Linked DNA regions of Drosophila melanogaster. The protein of the gene in region 1 interacts with the protein of each later gene in a pairwise test. Each region holds a gene or a part of one and is shown in the gene's direction. Other genes may lie near its edges.

Region 1 (4,941 bases):
TATTGTCTAGATTACAACTTGGCGACCTGACTCTTTGGCTGCTAAGCTATTTATTTACAGTTTATGGCTGCCGTCTACGAATTAGCTACTTATTGGTACTCTAAAGTATAGTCTCAGTTGCGGTCTCGACGTCTCAGCCTACGAGTATGCACTTTGGTTTCAGATCGTGTGTGTCTCTTTCACACGAGTCCTTTGAGCTGCATGTAATCCGATCACGTCACCAGCCCAGCCACGGCGGATGATTAATCTTAGATGGCGGGGTAAAGGTGAGGTTGACCGGTATGTTGATCAGGGCGTGCACCCTCTTCAGCCGCTGCAGCGTCGACCGGATGATGACGCCATTCTTCCCGAGAAGAAAGCCGGCCGGTATGTTGGCGTCCTGTTGGGAGTTGTCATGTATCATCTCGATGTAGTGCTCAAACTCTGGAGAGCTGGGATTGTACTCAGTGATGATTGCAGCCAATGCGCCAGCTGCCTCCGCTCGAAGTGTCTTCGTGAGGAAGGAACACTCCCTGAAAAATGACATTGTTAGTTTACGAAGACAAGAATCAATATCTATCTATATCTGATATGAAATATCTATATCGCTTTCCCGTATCGATCTTTTGTATTCCTATTGTAAAGAAAGGTTTCATTCGGAAAATTGATAGATTTTGTTAATAAGACTTTAAACGGACACTCCGGACGCACGTAACCAGGTTCTGACATTTGTGATAAGAAGCATGGAACTATGGCTACAGTTCGTCTATGGTTCGTCTAAGACCACTGATAAAAAGTGGCCGTGGCTATGACCATCTTTCAATAGCTAAGATAAGCTTTGTAGGGGTTCTTAAGGCTCTCACCCTCGATCAATGAGTGCGACGCCCCCATTCAGATCTCTGGCGTTCCGGATCTCCTGGCAGGCGCCGGGGGGATCTGTAATCACTAGCGGCACACCCTCCAGTCGCTCCGAGAAGGCGGATCCAAAGTCCTTGGCCGGGCGCAGCCGGTACGTGTATTCCAGTTCCGAGGGGGACAGGATTTCAAAAAACACGTCACCCGCTATTATGTCCTGCGTTGTGATCGGTATCGATATCGTGGTGCTGGCTCTGATGGATCGGCTCAAAGTGGCGGCAAGCACTAACCAGGCGATTAGCATTTTGGCCACGCACGCATAACTAATATAAATGTTTGTTGCAAAAAAAAACAAACTAATTCTTATGGCGTTAGGGATGAACCGACGGCAGGCAGTGCCGCTCTGTCGATACTATCGACCGTTCACAATACCTATTGGTATCGACGAGGGCATTAAAAGATATTTTATTAAAATAGTAAATTAATATATAGTAAATTAATATAGTTAATAAATAGTAAAGTAAATTATTATGACTTTATCTAATTTATAGCTTTTGAGGTAAATATTATTCATAATTCCTTTTCTCTGCAAATACTGATAAGCAGGAATACCCTTTTCATATAGTAATCGATGTCACCCAGATTTCAAAAAATCGTGCTGCCCAATATTTGGGATAATATAACAATAATATAAGTGTACTCAGCGTATTATTTGTGAAAGTCCTTAAAAATGTACACCACTATGAAATATCGATTTTTTGACAAAGCCAGGTTCTTTTGATAAATCGTTTTATATATATGCACATAAAATATTTTATTAGTTGTTACGTAATCTGAGTGCTTTTCTATTATTAGAGTATTACGTTTTCTCTTATGAAGTCTTCAGTTAGCTATTCTTTGCTAAGCACCCCTAATGTGTCAATCGATATCAATTTCTGCAAATAGCCAATTTCAAAAAGGTGAACGTATGTTGTGTCCAAACAATTAAAATAAAACAATTATTTGAATGGACTTCCTTATAAATTTAAAGATATATATTTCGATAGCCCTTTGCCAGGGGTACTCCTAACGACTGAGCCGATAAGTTGCAGTCCATCACCACGGACACACTGGTTACGTGTGGTTATAAAGTGGCAAAATCGAGTTCGCAAAATTGGGTTATGTAGTGCCTCCTAAATATGGAGGACACGAGACAAAAGCTAAACACGCCAAGTGAGAAAGCAAAATGGAAATGTAGATTCTGTGAGACAAAGCACGCCGAGTGGAAGTAGTACGACACCAGCACACTACACAATTCCAGACTGACATTTCGCCTCACCATCGCATATCCTCGAACCAATGTGCACCGCGTGGAGGGTCAGTGTTGTATTCAAGCGTAGCCGAAGCAACTCTGGCGAGTAGTCGATACCACAGCAAATCGGTACTCATTCGCTCAGCGGCAGCCATTTTAACTTTTGGCGTCGAAAATACGGCGAGGAAATCTGAGGAAGCCGGAGATCCTGTTGGTCTGTGTGATTTTTTCGCATCCAGCGCAAGCAGTGTGTAGTGCTCGAGGGCCCGTGGTTACCAGTGAGTGTGTGAGGAAGTTGAGAAGTTGAGTTTAAGAAGCGGAGTCGGATTTGCGGATCAGTAGTCTAACCAAAACCGAAGCAAAGATGTCGATGTCTGCCACGTGCTACAAGTGCAACCGGCCGGGCCACTTTGCCCGGGACTGCAGTCTCGGCGGCGGCGGAGGTCCGGGCGGCGTTGGAGGAGGCGGTGGTGGCGGCGGCGGCGGTATGCGCGGCAACGATGGCGGCGGCATGCGTCGCAACCGCGAGAAGTGCTACAAATGCAACCAATTTGGGCACTTCGCACGTGCCTGCCCTGAGGAGGCCGAGCGCTGCTACCGCTGCAACGGCATCGGGCACATCTCGAAGGACTGCACCCAGGCGGACAACCCGACCTGCTACCGTTGCAACAAGACCGGACACTGGGTGCGCAACTGCCCAGAGGCCGTCAACGAACGTGGACCGACCAATGTGTCGTGCTACAAGTGCAACCGCACCGGACACATCTCCAAGAACTGCCCGGAGACCTCGAAGACTTGCTACGGCTGCGGCAAGAGCGGACATCTGAGGCGCGAGTGCGACGAGAAGGGCGGACGGAACTAGGCGCCACCACCCACCCGTGGCACCTCATAAATGTAATCATCGAAGGAGGAATATGAGTAATAATTCAACACACGAAGAACAACCAGAAGAAAAGATGAGAACGAAAAAAAATGAAAAAAAAACGAAAAATCAATTTGCTACAACATTCACAAAGCCAGCCAACAGCAACAACATCTAGAAGCGATAGCAGCAGCACCCAAGTCAAGATCAACCCCTTCAAAATAAAGAACCCACAACCACATCCACATCCCTCCATTAACACATGCAGCATATGAATCCATAATCCTGAACATCATCCAGTAACCATCGCTGATTCCAAAAGCCGAGCCTGCAGCGCGGTGCCAACGTCCCGAGAACTGAAAGAAGACAAGAAGTATTGGCTTTCCGAGGGAAAGCCGCCAGAAAAGGAATCACGGAGGAGGAAGAGGGCAAAGGCTCCTCGAGCGGGGGTCGGAGGAGCAGAACCAGAAGACGATAGCCAACGGCAGCTGTGCAGCCGAGAGAGCAGATGACACCGACGACGAGGAAGAGGATGAGGTAGAAGATGAGGAAGAAGACACGACGACCCAATTTGTAAGATGAGACTAAACCACAACAGCAACAACAAAAGAAATCACCAAGCAAACCACTCTACTATAATTATACCTATATGATTATATGATTATGCTGCAAGTGTTTGAATTTACTAATTACATTATAACGAATGGAATGAAACTATATAAGATTATATAAAGAAAAATACCTTAAAGAATACTATTTAAAGCAAATGATCCTATTAGGAGTTCCACAGCCAGAAACAACCGAAAGAAAAACGTAAATAAAAATTATAAAAACCAATGAAAAAGCGAAGAATCAGGCGGCTAGAAGATCAGGCCACGTTACCACTCGACTCCACTCAACTCCACTCCATCCAGCTGCTGCCGGCGAGCCTTGGGAATTATCCAGGATCTAAGACTGTAAGACAGGATCTGTAGACAGTAACCAGTATCCCACCCCTATACCATTAACTCCATCCACATCCATACCATACCACACACCCATCAGCCAAGACGCCTGGCAAGATCTCTCAAGCGGGGTAGCATGCTATGTAGCTCATAGCTGTGGAGCCAAAGGGGGCAGCAAACAAGAACAGAGAAGCAGACAAATAACAAGAAGAGAACATCAACAATGGTAGACATACACGACGACTTTGAAAACGGAACGCAACGCTGGAGAGGATGAGCTAAGCGGTTAAAGAAGCAGACAAGCAAGCGGCACTCAGAACACTCAGTGGGCAGATGAAGAAGACAACGGCACACACACACCTTCAGTTCAGTTCAGTTGGACGGACGGGACACAAAAGATGCGAGACCGAAACCTACGTACGATGAAGGAAATGAAAATTCAAATATCACTGTGATTGTTTTTTAATTGTAAATTAAAATGCTGGAGCTGCTGATTTGAGACAAAAAAAAAAATAATCCCGCACCATGTGTTATGTCTTTGGGGTAATTCTTGCAGCGTCTTCCAGGGTAACATCTTTCATTAGGCCCCCTGCCAATTTGAGGCATCTCCGCCCCTGAGCGGGAGAGAGCGATCGCCCGCTTTCGCACTCTCTCCATCTCGCTCGCGCAACCAGTTTACCGGCGATTTTCACAACTGCAGCTGCGGGAACACATGGCGCAGGCAGCTGATGGCGATGGCTGGATGGAATATGGGGCTGGGGGCTCTCTTTTCGCTATGTGCTCACGCCGCTTTCTTTGCTCTCCTGCCCTGTTCTTTTCTGTGTGCAGTTCGCGTACCAGCACACACAACACACACACACATGCATGCGTACATACGCGCGCGCTAAGTGAATGCATACATACGTATGTATGGACGTACAGCGTGCTGCGAGGTACAGTCGCCGCTAATGGTGAAAACTGGCTGTGCGAAAAAGCAGGCAGAGAGCAAGAGGAAGAGAGAGCGGTCCCGG
Region 2 (4,872 bases), 1.8 Mb from region 1:
ACCCATAACCATCCAAAACTCCTAAATCCTTTCGTTAGTTCTTATATATGAGCATATTTCCATTTTAGGTTCTTTTTTTAGTTAGTCATATTTAACTTATTAACTCCCATGCCTTCTTCTCTTCCTTTCCAGGTTACGGCCACATCACTCCAAAGACGGGCATGGGTCGATCCCTGACCATCGTCTATGCCATCATCGGCATCCCCATGTTCCTGATCGTGCTGGCCGATCTGGGCAAGTTATTCACGCGCTGCGTCAAGTTCCTGTGGGTGTATGTGCGACGGATGTACTACACGCGCTCCTGCCGCCGGATACGAAAGCAGCAGCAGATCCGGAGCGCCATGACAGGCTTCAATACGATGTACGACATGGCCATCCGCAGGCCGAGCATGTTCTTCAGCAACTCTGCGCCAGAGAACGATGAGGAGTCGCAGGCGGATGCCGAGGCCGCAAGATCGGTGGGCACCTCGCACCCGGAGACACCCACATCACCCTATCCAGAGACCTTCGAGGTGGACGACGAGTTCAATTTGCCAGTGTCGGTGGCCTCGCTGCTGCTCATTACGTACATCCTCCTAGGATCCTTCGGCTTTCTAATGATGGAGCCCAGCTGGACTCCACTGGATGCCTTCTACTACGTGTTCATCTCGATGTCCACAATTGGGTTCGGCGACCTGGTGCCCAGTAATCCCTTCTACGTAATGGTCAGCATGATCTATCTGATGTTCGGCTTGGCCCTGACCTCCATGTTCATCAATGTGGTGCAGATCAAGCTGAGCGATCACTTCAAAATGGCCAGCGCCAAAGTGGGCGCCACCATTGGCATGAACATGACCAGCGAGCTTGGTGATGAGGGCGGCTCCCAGGTGAAGACTCCCTCCGAGCTTGCCTCGGTGCACGGTTCGCGACTGGACAGGATCGAGGAGGATGGCCAGGAGGCGAATGGCAATGGCCACTCCCCGGTGCCACCACTCACCTCGATCCTGCGCGCACCGCGTCCTCTATCGCCGGCGTCCAATGGAGTGGATGCTAATGGAGTTGGAGCCGATGCTGTTGGAGCTGGGGATGTTACTCCGCCACCTCTGCTGCCCAGGCGTCAGGTTTCCGTGGATCCCCAGCCGCCGGCGGAGGGGGAGAACAAGAAGAAGAAAAAGCACAGGTTTTTCTAGAATCCCTGGGATCTTCCGCCTCCAAACAAAAAAAAAACCGACAAAGTTAACGTGTAAGAAACCTCAAAAATGACAAGGCAATTTCAATCGAATTTACCGTAACGCGAAACTCTATATTCATTTATTTGTTATTTAATTTTACTCACCATCATCGTAGCATAAGTCTAATGTTAATGAAATAAAGCGCGCGAGTTGACAACGCAAATTGATGTTTTTAATTGTTGTAAATTCCGCTTAAGGATCATAATCATAAAGTTGTATAATTTTTCAACACTCTATTATCCTGTTATCAGCGTGGTTTTTTGCTCAATCCGGAATCGAATTGCCAGATGCGTATGCTTTGTACGGGAATGCATCCCAAAATCCCAGTAACAGGGAGTCGGGGGCGCGAATCCAAATGCAGTCGCAGTCGGCAGCTGCACATCTGTCGCTCGTAGGAAATGGAAGAGGAAGCAGCCACAGGAGGCGTTGTGCGGAGAGAGAGAGAGAGAGGGAGAGAGGGAGAGACCCATTCCCATTGAGAGCGAGTTGTGGTTCTCTCTGCCTCTCTTTCGCTGACACACGACAGGATGGCATGCTTCGCACTCCTGCTTCGGCTGGCATTCGTGTGCATGTTCCGTTTCCATTCCGTTCCGCTACGAGCACTTCGCCTGAGTTGACGGCTTCTGTTGGACGCCCAGTTGTTGTTTTGGCAGCGTGCGGTTCGGTCGACGGGTTACATCGCCTTCTCTCCTCTACCAAAATAAAGAGGCGCCAAATTCAATCAATTGGACAATATCACACGCAACTCAACGGGCACGAAAGTGTTTGTCAAACAACATAGATTGTATAACATTATAAATATATGCATATTCAGGCGGTACTCGCTCAGTGGCTAAAGCAAACATTCAGTGCCAGCGATCCGGAGAATTCCGATCGATCGCGTCGGTACAAAAAAAATTGAGCGAGAACAGGAAGAGCCGGCTGTTGGCTTCAGTCTACAAATCCTCACCCTCGTGAACACCCCTTGATTTTTTTGTTGTCGCGTGTGCTGCCGTACTACACTACCACAAACTACAAAATATATACCATACCATACAAACTGACGCCAGGTGTGCTAAATTCATAGATTCTTCTTCAATTATTTTGGTGCCCCATCGGTTTTTGTTTTGCTGCATTCATTCGCATTCGAAAAGTCGCTCTTCAACGCAAATCCCAAAACAGCTGTCACTCCCGAATATTTGCCAAATGCCTCTTCATCGGATCATCTGAATCGCGCGTAGTTAAGTGAAAATCGTCAGAGGATTTTGATTGCCTTCTGAAATCTACAGCCATAACTGCAAAAATGTCCGGAATCAACAGTCGTAATCAGAAAATGGAACAGCAGGTAAACCCAACACTCCAATTTGGCAGATCTTTTCTAGATTTTACCAAACCTATAATCTTTGATAATGTAATCTCTGAAATTTGAATTTCTTTAAATGTGTCATTCATATCCATTGTGTTTGATAATCTTCATAAAGTGGACACATTAAACCAACGATCCTATATTATAACAAAACCAATCTATACATACGACAGCGAAATTTATGAACAATTTAATGGCTACTTGTATTAAACTTTTGCTTTAGCTAAGAATTCTTTAAGAACTTTTTTTCAATTGACCATGAATCAAGGCAAGTTAGCACTGGCCTTTTAACTCTTCCAGCCCGACGGTTCGTGAATGTGGTCTAGAAACAAGAAAATCCACTCCTTTCTTGGAAAACTCGGGCAGCCCATAGCAATCAGCGCCAGCAGAAAAGGGGCCATCAGCCGGCATTACACGGAATTGTTCACTTTTTGGCCTCAAAGTTGACCGCTCTAAATGTGCCACCCCTTAAAGGCAACAAAAAAAAAAGGAAAATGAAACACCCAAGTGGCTTAACGCCTTCTCCAAGTGGTTTTGTTGTGCCCGTTTGCTCGTGGCCAGGTGTTCGTCCGTTGTCCTGGCAACGGCGTCCAAATAAATCGAAACGAAGCTCCTGGTGGTGGTGCAGTTGCTGCAGTCCGATTCGATTGTCATTGGCCCTAATTATGTTGAGTGGCACGGAACCAAAAGGCACCCTACTCCACCCACTGGCTCATAAATCGAATCACTTCGATGTGGTTGAGTTGGGCTGCCAAGTGTGGGAGGTCCTGGGTCCTTCGAGTTACTTCGATTTCGTGCCGCTATGGCTTATAAAACATTGAGCAGCTATTGACAGCTTCTTCGAATGGGAGGACATTTTGAAAACATTATGCCAAGTCATTTCAGCTACAAATGAAATAGCTTGAAAGAAATCGAAAATAAGTGGAAGCCATGGGAGCGCATTTCATTTTGATTGAATTTTAATTTTAATTATAAATTCACATTGAATCATCTCACAAATTCCCATGAATTAACACATTTCGTGATTACCATTTTAAAGCAGCTTGTTTGAATAATGTTTGCTTTATCACATTCATTTTCAAATGCGAGTATAAATATGATAAATATTCACTTGCTGAGTCAAGCTAATTTTCTTTGAACGTGTTAGCATAGAACATTAATCCTTCCGAACAATCGTTTTGGGTCATTTTCTCGAGCTTAAGCCAACACAAAGTTATATCCGCCATAAAAAAGAGAATGTGGCACAAAAAAACGGAGTCAATTTGCACTTGGCATAAATCAACAGAAAGATATATGGCAGTCAACTCATAAAGTGGTCGCTAAATATACACAAAGGATTAATAAAGTCTTCGGCCTGGACGCCAGCTAACCCACAATGTAGTATCCTTTCTTTGATTGGTGTCCTGCGTCACTATGGGCAACTACCCACACACACACACACACAGATATGTCCAGGCAGACAGGATTCTATAGTATCCCCATAGGAACACAGACAGACAGCGCAACTAGAAATATACACAATACCATTCGTTGGCATTGTTTTCGTATTGCCATCACCCATGGAATACCATTAAGCGAGGCCACAAAATCGATTCCCGCCTGGTGACGAGTCCTTCAGCTTCGCGAGGAACTGAGCCGCAGGATAATGCCCAGCAATAAGTCACACAATTGTTCACTACTTCCACATATGAATATAATATTTGCTTTCCGCAAATCGCTCAAGCTTTTCCTCACGCAAGTCGTAAAAAGAAACATTTCGGCCAAAAAAAAAGGATGTGACGCACCGACTTTTTCTAATAAGTTACTTGCGTAGATTAGGGTGAACCTTTAAAGCTTGAGAAGTGATTAAAAAATATGATTTGACTAGAGTAGAGCTCAAGCAGAAAAGAGACCCGCCATCTAACTGACCATATATAACTTTCTTTTGATCAAATGAACAAAGTTTATTCGGTGTACTTCCAACTGCTGTTTTTAGCATTAAGAAAAAGGTCCACCCTAATATGTATATTAGCCTAACTTCACTTAGCTTTACGGCTTTTGCCCTTTGTTTCGAGCCTGTAATTTTCGTTCTGTTGCTTCAAATACGAGGTTCTTGACCCAACGAGAGGAAAAGCCGGCTAAAACGAAATCGAATTTACCAAACTTTTCGTCTGACAGCCAAAGTCGAGATTTAATATTTAATAAGAATACGATACCTTATTAAATGTGCATTTGGAGCTGTCATTATGAACTGATTGATTGTTTCGGTAAGAGCTGTATTATTATTTGACTTCTGTCTCAAATTACCCGGCACTTGTAGAATCAAAATAATAACCA
Region 3 (3,061 bases), on another chromosome or scaffold:
AGACGTAGTCCAGCTAATAAATCGGTATAGTGATTCATGGGCTTATTGGATTCCAGATGCCTGACAAGCTGATCAAGTGGATCCTGATTCCCCACCTTGAGCACTTGCATAACCAACTGGTTCTTTTGAGATACAGTTTCATTTAGATATTCCTTGTTGCGGTAGAGTAACAGGGTCATTAAGTTCTTGTGCCTACTGGTGCACAGTCCCATCACCTGGAAATCCTGAAGGACACCCATGGCTATCGATTGCATCTGCAGGCTAAGCTGATTATTCTCGTGGATAATTTGTACGCAAGACAAACAGCTTCCAGCGGTTCCTGCAACGTAGCTACTGTTCTCCAGGCTGCAGAGAGCGGTGATCTTCATTCCGCCGACATAGATCCGAGCTTGCAGGCAGTCTGTGCTCCCCGTTCTTGGCATGCTCCAGGTCAGCAGGTGCGCCGCCTTGCAGCAGGTTATATAATAGCAATCCATTCTGGGACATTCAGTGATCACTGCCATTTGCAGACCCATGCGATCGGCTTTCTCCCACAAGGGCTTCACTAAGGCGAGAGCTGTATTTCCCTTAGCTGGCAATTGGTACAGGTGAATGAGTCCGTTGCTATCGCCCACCAGTAGAAGGTCCTTGAAAGCTTGTATATGGCAGATACGACCCATTGAGGTTTTCGTTTCTTGATGACTTAAAAGAGTTTTGACATCGGCGCTTAGTGTGAGCAACCACAAACTTCCTGCGGCTGTTCCCAGAACCAAAACATGCTGGCCAGTGGCATCTGCATCATCAGGTAACCAAGCAAACATAGTGATCCAGGCGGGATTAATATATTCTTGATAGCTCTTAAAGTCTTTTATCTTGGCGATGTCCACTTCAGGCAGCAGAGTGTCCCTCAGAGTTTCAGCGATATTTAGTCCTTCCACAGGGTTCCAACGATTGTACTCAGCGGACTTGTTTATTAGGCTCAAGGATCCATAAGTGTTGAGGGAGCCCAGGAGGAGATTTCCATTAGCTGCCAGCTTGGGTGCTCGCTTAACAGCTGTTAGTCTGGCTGGTGGCACGGCAACGGAGCACACAGCCGTGTATGCCGGGTCCAGGGCCAAGTGCTGTGCCTCCAGGACATCGCAGCTGTCGTATATGGCAACCAGATCCACTTTGTTGGCCAAAACGTCCAGAGGTCGTGTTTCCGCAGCGTTGGAATCATAAATGGCCACAAAATACGGAAAGGGATCCACGACCATGAACTTGCTGCTCAATTCCAGAGTGATCACTTCCGATTTGGAGCCGCTCAGTGCTATAAAGTCTCCATCGGAATCGCTGTTTACAAAGTCGTGTACCGAGTCCTGGCGGACGAATCCTTTGGCTAGAAGGTGAAAATCCAGATAATCTAGAACGAAATTAAACATTTATTAATTGCAATAACAAACTGCAATTATATTACAAGATATTCCAGTTACACTATTTCATTGAAGAATAGGAATTATTTGTAAGTGCGAACAGAGCGAGCACAACAAACCGCGCGAAATCGGCAATCACTATCTCAGATGTGTGGGTATATCTATTTAGCACGCATACACTCACATTTCCCGACATCTTGAACGCCATGTGAAATTTCTCCCTCAGTAACTTTCGTCATTTCGTCGTGCTCAGTTCAGGAATCCAAATCCACCGGAATGGCGGCCAAGAAACTGGGAATGGTTAGAGCACCATGTAACTTGTTGAGTAGATAACTGAAGTTCTTTCTTTTCAAAGGACTTTGTGAAGCAGATGTCCGAGTACGCCAGCGGGTCCAATGGATTCGACCGCGTCTTGAAAATGGTAAGATTCTAAACAATTTGTGCAGCCGATTTTAAAGCGACGCCGTCGAAGTCTCTCAAAAACAGCTGACTGTCATCAGTGATGGTATTACATAATTCAGCTCGCTGCAATCGATAACCGTGAAGTGCTCACCTCTCTCGTGGGATCTTCAGAGATTCAAAAATGTAAACAAATTTCAATTCGCAGATTAAAATTACAGGCGGTGGAGATGGTCGCGCAATAGGGGAGTTCACTGTGGCCAATGAGCATTTGAATCGCCAAGGAACTTTGCACGGTGGTCTTACGGCAACAATTGTTGATAATTGTACCACATATGCCCTTATGTCGAAAGGTATTTTGAAAGTTTGTTTATTACAATCTATAGAATCTACAATGAAATTTTTTTAAATTTCAAGGATCCCATCCCGGAGTTACGGCCAACCTGAATGTAAGCTACATTGCAGCAGCGAAACCTGGCGAACTTATTGAAATTGATTGTAATACCGTGCGGGCCGGTAAGAAAATGGCCTATTTGGACTGCATTCTGAGGCGTAAGTCCGATGGAAAGATCATCGCCAAGGGCGGACAGGTCAAGTACATTCAGTTCGACAAGGAAAAACTGGATTTTTAAAACAATTTTTGTAGATCGTCAGAAAACGAAATAAAATCTTTCGAACCTCTGCTTAAGACGTACTAGTTTAATTATTTATTATTTCTTAAGTTAGTTATTTCTTAATTTACAAAATAAAGATATTTAAAACTAAAATAGATGAAAGACTATAGAAATCCCAACGGATAATTTTTAAATAGGTAGGACTTTGCATATCGATTTGCCCTTTTAACTTATCGATTGGCGATTCTGCTTATCGCAAAACAGCTGTTGTTTGTTTTGAAATTGTTTTGTTAGGTGTTACGTTAGATTTTCAGATTTTTATGTAAATTTCGGGCAGTACGGGGATAGTTAGGTAGGATCCGTTAACTAAATACTAACTATTTCATAATATCGTGCTATATTATGTTTACCTTATTTTTTGATACTTGCTAATTGTTTACTTTTCATCGAAAAGCGGAAAACTGCACTCGAAGATAATGAAATCAAATATTGAAAAAATCAAAGCAATCCATTTGTTAATATACTACTGTGATTTATTTTTTAATGGATTTAGTCCCATCCAAACTTACACACGTCATACATACAATAAAGTTGGATTGTTCTATTGTAAAACAATTACTATCTGACACTTGAGATATAAGTGCACGTTACGACTAC
Region 4 (4,549 bases), on another chromosome or scaffold:
ACTCATTCCATTAAAATGGATTGCAGCCTATGCTGAATGCGTGCAATTCATCTCAATTAAATGTGTATTACATTTTATGAATATTGATTTTCAACGCCCCCCTCCATTAATTCGACTTTGTGCGGGATGCAGATACTTCATACTTCATTGGCAGATATGTAGGTGGATAGGTGTTTTCGATACCCAATGCGCACCTGCACCTTCCGATTCGTGTCAGTTTATTCAGGTAGATTGCTGAGCTGAGCTGAGCTGAGCTGTGCTGCGTGTTTACTCTGCTCCAGCAGGCAGCCAATTCATTAGCTGTTCCTACTTCGCCTTTGCTGCAAATGGAAGGAAAGACAACATGAATGCTGCACACAGTGCGTGTGCACCGAGAGATGCTGATGAAGAGTCATCCCTTTTGGCCACACCATAGAATAACCGAACGCAGCGTAGTCATACATATACCAGCTTATATTCCGGGCCAATTGCTTTGCTGCGCTTTTGTCTTTTCAATTACGGACGAGCTTCAAAGTCAAACTTTTGTGCAATTATACTGGAAGACAATTTGCCCTGTCTCGATTTTTATGAGCGCACAAAAAGTTTTCCACCAACGGAATAGGAACTTTTCCCCGGCAACAGTTTCCATTTCGCTGTTGTTTTCCCTTCAAGACAGTTGATTTTTAATTTCGTGTCGGCGGTTCCCAGCTTCATTACTTCATTTCAACGGGGGAAATATTTGACGGGTTAAAGCAAAACTTTGCCGCTCTGAAGTAAAGCTGCTGCTGTTGAAGATGCTGACCCTCCTCCTTTCTTGGAAATGGACACCACAGCAGCGGGGGCTGCTAATGAAACAGGAGCTTCCGTACAGGACACCGGATCCGAGAACCCGGAATCTGATGATAAGGTCAGCGGACTTGGTCGTAAAGAGGCGGCGGCCATAAAAGCCAATTGCTGGTGAAAATGTTGTTTCCTTTTTTTTTCCCCCGAACCGAGCTGGCGACAAACGTGGCACTTTCGTTTATCAGGGTGGCCGGCCTTGAGTTCGGGTTCGGGATATTAATAAACATGTCTTCAGAGTCCACGCTCCGTTGGCAGGACATTATTCTTGACTGCCCTCCAATTCGGGATCCTTTGTGGGGTTAATGTGGTCGCTCATTAGTGGGGTAATTGGCAGCTAATTGGCTTGATGAGTACCAGTCATCTTGATTCATCGTGATTGGCCCGGCCATGGATGAGTCTTGTCTTCGAAAAATATGAACTTAAGTTTCAGATTCCTATGGGAGTTCTACTCGAAGCTTTTAAATTGATATCAGGTACTTTTCTGCGCCATCTCACGCTGCGAAAATGTAATCAAAGTTTGCTGATTAAAGTGAAAATGTGCAGAAATTATGAATCAATTTTCCGAAGACGACGACAAGCGAAGTGCAAAGTCATCAGTGAGCTGCGAAAGTGGCATCCAGAGTTTTAGCCGCCAATCACGGAAATTTGCATAGTTCTTCGCGCTTTTAACTATGGACTACGGATGGAAAAACCAGGTCAAATCCCTTGAAAGGTGTGGACGTAAAAGTGCCAGCCATTTCGATGTCCATATTGCATTTTTACTTTGGCTATTAATACATTTTCACTCAGTAAATTCCACATTATTGAATTAAATTAATCCTGCCGCTGTCGATTTTATTTTAAATATATTCATTGGCAACAAACGGTTGATATGTTGGTTTTTGTGTGCAGCAATGATATTATTAATACTTCGGATTATATTGTTTTGATGTGGATAAACACATCACCAACATTTTTTCGAGTCAAAAGTAATGAAATTAAATTGGCTTGCCATTTGATTGAATTGGAAAAATATGGCTGCCAAGTAGGCTACAACACAATCTATCAAAGAAACTTAGATCCGGAACTCAGTTCATTTTTATACTCCTAGTGTCTGGATGTTATCAAAGATTTCAGTAGTTTTTAAAGGAATCGGTTCGTGTTTGATCAGCAGTAAAGGCCACACAACGAGGAGTTTTACGTATATTTTTTACCAACCATGGATAGCACGTCAGCCAGCGTAGTGTATACGAATTCTTTTTACGCTCCAAATTACTCGGACACCCAGCAGCCACAGCCACAGCTGCAGACTCAGCAACAGATGTTCCATGCCAACTACATCGTCGGAACCACATTGGGTTCTGGATTGGGATTTAATTTTGCACCAGCCCCCATTCCCCAGGCGAGTGCCGCTTCCGGTTTGAGTCCCAGAGGCATGTACAGTGATCTCTACCGCTACGAGGATGGAAGCGGCGATGCCAGCGGTTCCTTGCTTCTGGTCCAAGAGGATGACCACTTCTGTGGTGCAGAGGCGGACCAGCAGTTGGTGGCCAGCACGTCGTCCTCATGCCCGATGGCGAGTTCAGGCGAGTCCGTGAGCATTGACACAGAGCAGGAGGCGGAACGGGATCTTCAGATGAACCAATGTGAGACGCTGGAGCGGGAAGAGCTGAATGGAGATATAGGGGAAATGGGGGAAATGGAGGAGCTTGCAGAGGAGGTTAATGGCGAGCAGAGGCCGCCGCTGTTACCCTGCATGGGTGGCAACACATCCTACATGGTGTTCCCGCGCACCGCCGCCGACTACATGCCCCGCCTGGCGCTCCCGCGGCATAGGCCCTATATAAGCATCGGTCAGGAGCAGTACGTGATCCAGGCGGAAACTGTCTTCGTGCTGGGCATGCGCCTCAATGTGACCAAGAACGACATCATCCTGTTCTTCGGCAAAGTGGGCGTTATCAAGATGGACGAGTCGACCAACAAGCCGAAGATCTTCGTCTACAAGAACAAGATAACGGGGCGCTCCAAGGGTGAGGCCACTATAACCTATGTGAGTCCATTCTCTGCACAGGCGGCGATTAGTTGTCTGAGTGGGGCCAAGTTCATGGGACAGGTGATCACCGTTCTGCCCGCCTACCTATCCACCCGGAGGGGCAGTGTCCGGTACAGTTATCCGCGAGAGCTTAATGCGCCGGAGCACCAACGTCGCCAGCGGGCAATGAAATGGAAGCCAGCCATCGACAATTGGGTGTGCATGCTCTGCCGGAACAGCAACTTCGTCTGGCGTTCCAGCTGCAACAGATGCCAGGCGGACAAGGTGGTCGCTCCTCAGAATAACGAGGGAAGTTCCTGGGCGGGATCACGCGAAGAGGACGGTGCCCCTCGTCGTTGGCGGCCATACAGGAACGACTGGCTGTGCAAGATTTGCTATAATATGAATTTCTGGTACCGAGCGAAGTGCAATCGTTGCCACGCCCTGCGTTCCGATGAAATGAAGAGCTCCGAGTCGACGGAGGAAGATACCTGGGAGCTGGTTCTGAATCCGCCCATTGCAGAGTAGAAACAGTCCAGTCCACCTCGTTCTGTCTGTGTCTGTGTCTGTATCTATACGTGTTATCTGTTTTGTGTATCCGCATCTTTTTGTACGAAGGACACTTCTGCCTTCTGCATCCTGCTCCTTCCGGACTTCTAAAAATTTCAAGTGATTGGAACGCGAACTGCGTCGTGATATCCAGATGCAACTTCAATTGAATTGAATCGATTCGATGCGATGCCCATGAGCTTGTGAGCCCCATCCAAGAACAGCAAGAGCCAAGAACAAAAGACACCTAAATTCCTGTTAATGCCCGTCTTAGAAAAAGGCGTTTGAATGCAATGCCGCCACCATATACCCGCCGAACCAGTCTTTGTCCCCAGAGCAGAGATCCTCAGATTGCGGGACAATGCAACTTGCTGAATGGTAATCCACTTAATCCGGGTAACTGAATATTTTACCCAGGCACAAAAGGCAACCGGACCCACCTGGCCAGCTCTAAACGTTTAATGAATTTATTTACTTTCCCGACGCGTGCAGTCAGTGGCTCAGTGGCTCATTGGCTCTGCGGAACTGCACTGTAAATCGAAATATTATATTCAATGAAGTCTAAATTGTTTAATAAAATTAATCTTCTATTCATTTATTTATAGAAAGGGTGAACTCGTGGCTTTAAACTATCACAATGAAATTTCAAAATTTCTGAATCCCCCACAGCAAATCCTTGACTCAGATTGTTTTCTGTGTGCAGTGGCATCAAGCCACTTGAATCCATGTCCCACAAGTCGCTCGCCAGCCCCATCCTCCTACTCCTCCTTTCTATCTACCTCGTCCTTTTCTGTCATGTGATTTAATCAAACTTTGCGTCAGCCGAATCTGTGCCACAACAGCTTGGCTGGTTGGTAGATGGTGCGGCTGGTGAGTTGCTCTTTTGGCTGCACCCGCAGTTGCGGCTGCCCTCGTCTGCCGCATGCCACGCCCCCCTGCTCCATTCACCAGTTCACCAGAGGCGGCGCCTGGCAGACTTTGTGTTGTGCATTTACTTTGCACTTTCTTCCACGCGAGCGGACAAGGCACCTGGTGGGAGCTGTGGAGTGTGGAGTCCGGAGTCCGGAGTCCATCGTCCCTAGTCCATAGTCCATAGTCGGTTGTGCTTGGTCTGCCGCCTGCGGGGTATTTGCGTAGCTGCAGGTGTTGCTCCGTCTGCTGCTGCCC

The links.
Region 2: the proteins of CNBP (region 1) and ktub interact in a two-hybrid assay, tested with the Drosophila melanogaster proteins (one large-scale study listed by BioGRID).
Region 3: the proteins of CNBP (region 1) and CG16985 interact in a two-hybrid assay, tested with the Drosophila melanogaster proteins (one large-scale study listed by BioGRID).
Region 4: the proteins of CNBP (region 1) and CG14718 interact in a two-hybrid assay, tested with the Drosophila melanogaster proteins (one large-scale study listed by BioGRID).

The regions. Positions count from the first base shown.
Region 1 is NT_033778.4:22,934,061-22,939,001, reverse strand, and holds CNBP (CCHC-type zinc finger nucleic acid binding protein), read left to right. Parts: upstream 1-1,924; 5' UTR 1,925-2,489; coding exon 2,490-2,987; 3' UTR 2,988-4,433; downstream 4,434-4,941. Other genes in the region: CG9849 (uncharacterized protein), read right to left, coding at 218-512, 843-1,138.
Region 2 is NT_033778.4:21,100,083-21,104,954, forward strand, and holds the start of ktub (king tubby), read left to right. Parts: upstream 1-1,845; 5' UTR 1,846-2,493; coding exon 2,494-2,535; intron 2,536-4,872. Other genes in the region: CG34396 (uncharacterized protein), read left to right, coding at 133-1,169. UniProt on the Drosophila melanogaster protein: Functions in regulating protein trafficking, retinal maintenance and lipid storage. Protects photoreceptor cells R1 to R6 against light-induced retinal degeneration by stimulating norpA-mediated endocytosis of the rhodopsin ninaE (Rh1).
Region 3 is NT_037436.4:2,597,690-2,600,750, forward strand, and holds CG16985 (uncharacterized protein), read left to right. Parts: upstream 1-1,630; 5' UTR 1,631-1,667; coding exon 1,668-1,691; exon of another isoform or gene 1,692-1,746; coding exon 1,747-1,812; exon of another isoform or gene 1,813-1,890; intron 1,891-1,998; coding exon 1,999-2,143; intron 2,144-2,207; coding exon 2,208-2,422; 3' UTR 2,423-2,553; downstream 2,554-3,061. Other genes in the region: CG12182 (uncharacterized protein), read right to left, coding at 1-1,381, 1,576-1,630.
Region 4 is NT_033777.3:11,698,726-11,703,274, forward strand, and holds CG14718 (uncharacterized protein), read left to right. Parts: upstream 1-1,888; 5' UTR 1,889-2,020; coding exon 2,021-3,361; 3' UTR 3,362-3,995; downstream 3,996-4,549.